Linked DNA regions of Bombyx mori. The protein of the gene in region 1 interacts with the protein of each later gene in a pairwise test. Links are inferred from orthologs where the notes say so. Each region holds a gene or a part of one and is shown on either strand. Other genes may lie near its edges. The genes, in order: cyclin-dependent kinase 14 and cyclin-Y-like protein 1.

Region 1 (3,840 bases):
ATAATTGGCGTAAACTTTTAATTATGCACTGAATAAATTTCAAACGAACGAAATAGTAATTATGATATGTATTTATTAACTTATTAAACGAATTTCATTCTTGAACTGACCTGTTTAAAGTTTAAATCAAATTGTCGAAACTCGCTGCGGTTTCACAGAGTGAGGTCAGGTCGAGTGGACGATTTTACCGTTCACTTTTCGAGAATTTTGTATTTCAATTACTTCATCCACTTTGGCTTTACCGGTAATTATGGTTCAGATGCATTCTTTGAAACTTTAGAGGTAAATGATTTATATATTACGTTGTTACGACTAAGACATTTTTTACTTTCAAATACTTTTACTTTACGAATATGTGTTACGAATATCTGTAAGATTTATATATCGAATGCGAGACATTTGTCGGTCGTGATTCAGAGAGGAAACTTGATGAATCTCGCCTTGTTTAATGAACGGTTGTATTGATGGCACGAACGATAGCTATCAATTACCGTCATTACGAATTGTCCGTATATAATATTGTTACAAAATTGTAGCAGAAACTGATGGTATATTTGCAAAAAATTTATGAACAAAACGTGTATCGATCGCTCTAATTTGTTTTTGTTTATTTGATTTTATATTTGTTCGTTCGAGTATCACGCACAACGATTGGATTTTGATATTTGTGAAACACTTTACTTCTGCAAGTCAATAATAATAATTATTAATAATTTATAATAATAATAATCATTATTATTTCAAAAGTCATCGTAGATAAAAGAATCAGGTCCCAGGTTTACTAGGTTTACCGGATTTTCATTTTTGTGAAACACTTTACTTCTGCTAGTCAATAAAAATAATTATTTTTAATAATTTATAATAATTATTATTATTTCAAAAGGCATCGTGGCCAAAAATTCAAGGTACCAGGTTTACTCGTATCAAGCGAAAACCTCTAGAAGTTGCGTCATTAAACCGATTCCGGCAATTTCACTTCAAGGTTTTCCCCAAGCGCGATGCTTAACGATTTTAAACCCAAACTAAAAACGCATCGATTGATTCTGAATATTTAAGTTTAGCTATTTGCTTATACAATAAATTGATATTTGTCTTCGTGTTCAGGCATAAGGGAAATATTTAGCAGGAAAAAAATACACTGTAAACTATAAATAGCTAGAACATCGCGAATGTCAAAATCATAACGCACGCTATTAAATTAATTCATTTGAATAATATTAGCCTAGAATTTAAAATTATGCAACAACATTCATGACTGCTCTCAGCTATTAGCTATTAACAATGCTACTGATAACGATGACAAATTAATGATACATCATCTCAAAACAAAAAGACAATAATGGTTAATGAGCCAGCAATGGAAATTAAACTTGATACAGGCAACCCGCATCGCGCAGTTACATTGACCTAGCGTGTCATCTGGTTTTTATTTGTGGTACATTGCTGCTATTTTACAAGTCAGTAATAATAAACATTTTAGTTCCTGTCATGGTTGCGTTAGTTACCGAAACCAGATCCCTTACTATAAGTGTACTTACTAATAAATGAACGAATCTAGACAATAAATATTCTGTATCGAGTTGATTTAAGTTTCGGAGCGACAATCTATCTTCGAGAAGTGTAAGTGGTGATAGTAATAATGAATCACTCGCTTCGGTTTGCCTTTTACGTTACACAACTTTCGATTTCAACGTGACAAATCCAATTTTCATTGATTCAACATCAAGATGAGAAACCCTAATTTCTTTTTAAAACAATTATAGCTTATGATTTTATGAAGAAAAAAAAAACACAGACACGGTTATTAAACAGGTAACGTTTTTTGTCAACAGTTTAACGCAACAAGTGGTAGCACTCAAAGAGATCAGACTGCAGGAGGAGGAAGGCGCGCCCTTCACCGCGATAAGGGAAGCCTCGCTCCTCAAAGAGTTGAAACACGCGAACATAGTCACGTTACACGATATAGTTCACACTAGGGAGACCCTGACGTTCGTCTTCGAGTTTGTGGTGAGTTAACAGGAACTTTTAATAACACACCTGTGCTGCGATTGGCCATAACAACAGATAATCTAGAAGACTGGTTCTCGTGTTACTGTGTATTAAAATTGAAGACATGAGTGGATGAAGGGGATATGATACGATTTGTTAATTTTGAGAAAACTGGCAACAAACTTTTGTTAGGTACTTGTACTTTTTCGTACGTAACTCCTTCATCACATGCAATTTCTGAAAATAGCCTTTAAACTAGGAGTTTTAAGGTCTAATATGGTTTTTAAGCACATAATACCTTCATTCCATGTAAAGCCTCAAAAATCTTAAAAATGGTACTTAACCCCCTCATCCACTCATGTCTTCAATTACAGGATGTCTGTTTTTAATTCTGGTGGAAAATTCTCTAGGATTTTTTTCCTAAATTGCAACAAATGTACTGATGGGAGTTTGCTGTACTGATGGGATGGACTGTCCATAGGATGATGCAGTACTAATAATTAAGTTGAAATTAAAATAAATTCTATATAGATCATCACATGTGATATTTGGAAATATTGATATGAAAATTTGGTGGAAAGGAATTTAATTCATTTCACAATGTCCGTGAAATAGGAGTGGGTAATATCGGTTTTGCCGCGTATCGAATCGTATCTATATATCGAGGATCAATATCGGATATTGAATCTATATATTTTCTGAATCTATATATTGATGGATGCTAGTAGATTTTCTCGATTCATGATATTTGAGATTTGAAACGATACGCTGATATAATATCGTAGTAGATATAGATTTAAGTCAACGTTACACGGTTGGTTTTCTGATATCAATTTATAATATGATCTTAAAGTAATAAAAAGAACATGAAAATAAAAATATCAAAAAAACTTTCCTTCATGCTTTTACCAGGCTTAGGACTGGCTACATTATTTTCAGTTTTTAGTATTTTGTGTCTTAATTTAAAATTACAAAATATACCAAAAGAGTGTAGATTTCAAAAGTTTAATACAAACACAAGAAATAAACTCAATTATTTGGATTCAACTAAAAATAGAAAAATGTGTACTTTAAAAATCAAACACAAAAAACTTTTAAGTATTTATAAACACTTGTCCAAAAATTCTAGTTCAAGGTCAAAGCGCGTGAAATTAAATTCAACGATGCAAATAGGCTATACTGCATTCAAGTTAGGGTCGAAAGTTGAAACTTCTTTCCTTAATTGTATCCTGCTGATACGCTAAGAATAATCTACAGACATATGGACTTAAATATAAGGTTTACAATTGTATGGATAATGCCTGTTTCTGTTTCATTCATCACATGATATCCCTATCGTGCGCTCACTCACTCTGGCCGATTCGATACGAACCAAACGAATATTGCTGATATTAACGAATCGGTACGATATGCCGATGCGCATCACATCGAGCAATATCGTGTATCGGCCGATATCGAAATATAGATTTCGATTCACGAATCGGTCCGATATGCCGATGCGCATCACATCGAGCAATATCGTGTATCGGCCGATATCGAAATATAGATTTCGATTCACGAATCGGTCCGATATGGCGATGCGCATCACATCGAGCAATAACGTGTATCGGCTGATATCGATATATAGATTTTGTGCGGGGCGATATCGGATTCAACGATATTGCTGCGATATATAGATATTGAATCTATATACGATTTATATCACCCACTCCTACCGTGAAATAATGTTAAAATAAAGTTTTTTTTGTTTCTGTTCTCATAAAAGGATACGGATCTTTCACAATACATGGAGAGGCATCCCGGAGGACTGAATCATCACAACGTTAGGCTATTCATGTTCCAACTGCTGAG
Region 2 (4,352 bases), on another chromosome or scaffold:
CTTTGAGTTTCATTGATCTTCTTTCTTCTTCGAACATAAAGACTTTTTATTCAATTATTGCTTATTGAGAAGTAGGATCTGATAGTAATTAGCTGGTAACTAATTATGATGTAGTAAAATGCATGCAACTGTCCACTTGAAGACAGTGTACTGAGGCAAAAGAAGAGAAAAACATTGTAAAACGTTGTAGGAATAATAATAGCATCAACCTTCGCAGTCTTACTATACACTTAATTAAATATAGGAAACTACTATCTCAGAGGTGGTTGAGGCAAAGCTTTTAATAAATAAATAGATCCATATCAAAGCTCAGGCCTTGGGGTTCCATGATCAATGGAACCCTCCATTAGTAAACTGTAAACAAAGTGCGAACGTCTTTAACTTTGTTACACATCATGTAACAAAATTCATCAATGTATTGTGTTTTGTTATACAATTCCTTCATCGTGGAAGTCGTTTGTGTGCACACGTCCTTACGGATCCATCAGATCTAATAAATCTTGCATTAGACGCCTTCAGCTCTAAAACGATGGATTATGGATGGATTCTAGTAACCGTACTCCTTGAACTTTGTGCTGTAGAGAGTTCAACGTGCAACCTTGCTCAAACATTAACCCACTGAAGCTTTCGCCAGATCTTTTCAGTGGGTCACGATTCCATTCCGGTACAAGATTCATTCGCGAAGCAGCCGCCCTTGAGTAGTTAGTTACGTCTCCTCATGAGACGGTCGGGCAGCTGTTAGCAAATCTCATCCATTCTAGCTGAGCCCATGCTCGCCCACCTGTCCTGGTGAAACTGGAATGTCCTCCAGGCATAAATAATCCTTTATTAAAAAAAACCCAGTTTTAAATATTTGATACTTGTAACCAGTCTCTGAGAAAAATAGTTAGTAATTTTCGGATAGACATACAGTTAGGTAAATGATCCTAAAAGGTTTTTTCCTTTGAAATTGGTACCTTATATATCTACTTTGTCATTTAATTTTTACTTTCGCGGTACTAAACATTTGCTTTAGCAAAACAATTTAGGTAGGAAGAAGTTTATTGTCATATAAATTTTAAGCTCAAATTTATTTGTTGGAAAATAATTTTAATACACAATCGATGCTAATTAAATAAAAACAAAGTCATTGACAGAAGGAAATAATACCAAATCAAATTAAACATTATATAATATATATTTAATTAAAATTATATATAATATTTAAGTGAAACTTCTAATGCGACTTCAAACAAGGTTGCGTTAAACGTTTAACGCTACCTTACTAGAAAGAGGCAGATCCCACGAGTTAAAAAGAATTACAAGTTTCAAGTTGTAATGCAGCTCCGGTAACCATAGGTGACTCGTGAGCTTCGTCTCCACAAACAACACCTAATAATCCATACATGTTTGTACTATGAGATCATGATTTGGTTTTCCGGCTCAAAAAAGATAGAAAGTTAATAAATGTAGATTTAATGACATTAAATATCTCCGAAATATTATTTTATGTAACATCATTGTAGGTGTTTATAAAAAAATAAAAAAGGTGTTTATATAATCATTACTATGTATAGTCCTATTTCTACTTATATTACTTGTTTCTGGCCATTGTAAAATTAAAATCAATCATGGCGATTCTTATGAAAATCGAATTATCGGTTACGTCAATCCTTACTGTGTGTCTACGCCTTAGTGATTACGGAAAATGCTCCCTCACTAATTGTCAAAAAAATCATGAATGAATGCAATGAATTCTAAAATTTCTACAATTTGTGAATCAGAAAATTCCACAAATCAAGAATGATAAGGTATAATACGACACAGACTGTTCTTGATTAATAGATTATATTCAACACCGACAAAAGTATCATAAATCGTAACTCAACATTCATCTGTGCCTTTTGTTTCAGGTACTATGGGCCTTTTATGTCTTATTTCTGTGTCGGCTTATTATTTCCGTATATCTAGTCGTGACACAATGTGTGTAGAATGATAACGAACATTCTTTATAATCGTCATATGTTGTAAAATCATGGGTAATCAAAATAGTTGCTGCTGCTATCGGAGTCCATCTCCCATTCGCAAAGATATAGTAAAGTTGGAAGACTATCTTCCAGAAGGAGAAGTAAGCTCAAATAACATACAACACATCAGCGAGAGGGAGCCTGATGATGGCGACATCGATCCATCGCAAGATCCGATGGCTGGCACCATTTTCATGGAACGTTCTAAAGCTTCAATAGAGAATGGTATGACTAGGAAGCGGAGCCAACATCAAATAGCTGACAATAAATTAAAGAAAAGCAGTTCCTGTTCTACAATTTACTTAGATGATAGTACTGTGTCTCAACCAAATTTGAAAAACACTGTGAGGTGTGTAGCACTTGCTATTTACTATCACATAAAGAATAGAATGTCTGAGCGCAGGTTAGATATTTTTGATGAGAAACTTCATCCTTTGAGCAAAGAAGGTGTGAGTGATGACTATGATAAATACAATCCAGAGCATAAGCAGATTTATAAATTTGTAAGAACATTATTTAATGCAGCACAATTAACTGCAGAATGTGCTATTATTACTCTAGTCTATTTAGAGAGACTTCTAATTTGTGCTGAACTTGATATTGCACCTTCAAATTGGAAAAGAATTGTATTAGGGGCAATCTTATTAGCGAGTAAGGTATGGGACGATCAAGCAGTTTGGAATGTTGACTACTGTCAAATTCTAAAAGATATAACTGTTGAAGATATGAATGAGCTTGAACGACAATTTCTAGAAATGTTACAATTCAATATCAATGTTCCATCGAGTGTCTATGCTAAATACTATTTTGATCTACGTACACTTGCTGAAGCTAATGACCTAGCATTTCCTAGTGAGCCTCTTAGCAAGGAAAGGGCACAAAAGTTAGAAGCGATGTCACGAGTTATGGAAGACAAAATAACTGCTGAAATTGTAAAAAATGGTATTAAGAAATGGTCAAGTTTAGACAATGTTAATGCTGGTGCTGGAGTAAGACGAAGTGTAGCCATTTTGTCTTAATTCATGTTGGAGCCAAATTTATTTCCAAAGTAGTAAAAAAATTGACCAAGTTATGATTTTAAATAATAACAGAGGACACCAACTTTTGCCTTCTACAGTGAGATAACATTTTACATATAGAATAAACATTCAAACCACAAGTAAGTTTATGTTAAATGAAAAATCTCACATTTCATAAAAAAGGATCATTATTTTGTTACTTTATTTCAAGAGTAAGTGTAAAATTATCCATACAAAATTTTAATGATTGTACATAAAATTATTTTTCAATTAAAATGATGGTTATCTTAAGTATTATTATTAAATTGCAATTAATAGAATTGAAAGACTAGTAAGTGGTCCAATATTATTTTATGTTATTTAAAAATACAATTAAATGAAACATACTTTATATTGGCTTCCAATTTTGTGTTTAATTTAAATTTTCTTATGTTAAGTTTCTTCCATACTTATTGATATGCTATTTTGTAGTTTTTAGATTTTATAGTATGTGCAAGTGCATTTTGACTGACATAATGATCTTTTGATTGTGGTATGGATGTATTGTAGTCTTTATTGTCAATTTTATTACATTGTCATACAGCATTTAAATATATCTGAACTGAATATTAATAATGCCAAATTATTTTAGATAACAACTATTTGTGTGATCATTATTCATATTTAAAAATGTGTTAATTTATGAACAAAACAATTATTGAAACAGGAAGTTTTGAATCTGCTGTTTCGTATTTATTTATAAAATATATGTGTATTAAAAATTCAATTATACAATCCATACTTTATGTATCTTTCAATAAAACATTTTATATGAGACTTAGTGGTATTAATTACTACAGTACACACAAGTACTGTACTGTTTAATATCCTGTTTCTGTTATTAAACTTCTTATAATACAGTTGTTGCTATAACAAAATGAATATTAAAAAACAACATGAGATTATATTTACTAATTTTTATTCACTTACATATAACAATAATACAACTCATAAAAACCTTAAAAAAAATCCATATTACAGCTTATTCAGTATATCAGATCTTATGATCTTATGATAATGGTTTCAAATCTTTCAAATAAGCACTATAGTTCTCAAATACATCTATAACATCACTTTTTTTGTTAATCTGTCCATCAAATTCTGGCCCAACAGACCATAAGGTTTCTAGATCATACATTTTTCTTGTGCTATCTGAAAATATATGTAGTGCAATGTTGCCTGAAAAGACAGTTTTAATTAGTTATTTTAAAAACTATTAACTTTGTAAGTTTTATGCATTATAAAATATGATCTTACAACATATACTAGTTCAGATAAATCTATTAAG

The links.
Region 2: the proteins of cyclin-dependent kinase 14 (region 1) and cyclin-Y-like protein 1 interact in a two-hybrid assay, tested with the Drosophila melanogaster proteins (2 studies listed by BioGRID). The link is inferred for Bombyx mori from reciprocal best matches to the Drosophila melanogaster genes Eip63E and CycY.

Annotation. Positions count from the first base shown.
Region 1 is NC_085117.1:9,225,581-9,229,420, reverse strand, and holds part of cyclin-dependent kinase 14, read left to right. Parts: intron 1-1,832; coding exon 1,833-2,007; intron 2,008-3,754; coding exon 3,755-3,840.
Region 2 is NC_085110.1:6,232,180-6,236,531, reverse strand, and holds cyclin-Y-like protein 1, read left to right. Parts: upstream 1-1,580; 5' UTR 1,581-1,790; intron 1,791-1,892; 5' UTR 1,893-2,014; coding exon 2,015-3,025; 3' UTR 3,026-3,841; downstream 3,842-4,352. Other genes in the region: uncharacterized protein LOC101741971, read right to left, coding at 4,074-4,243.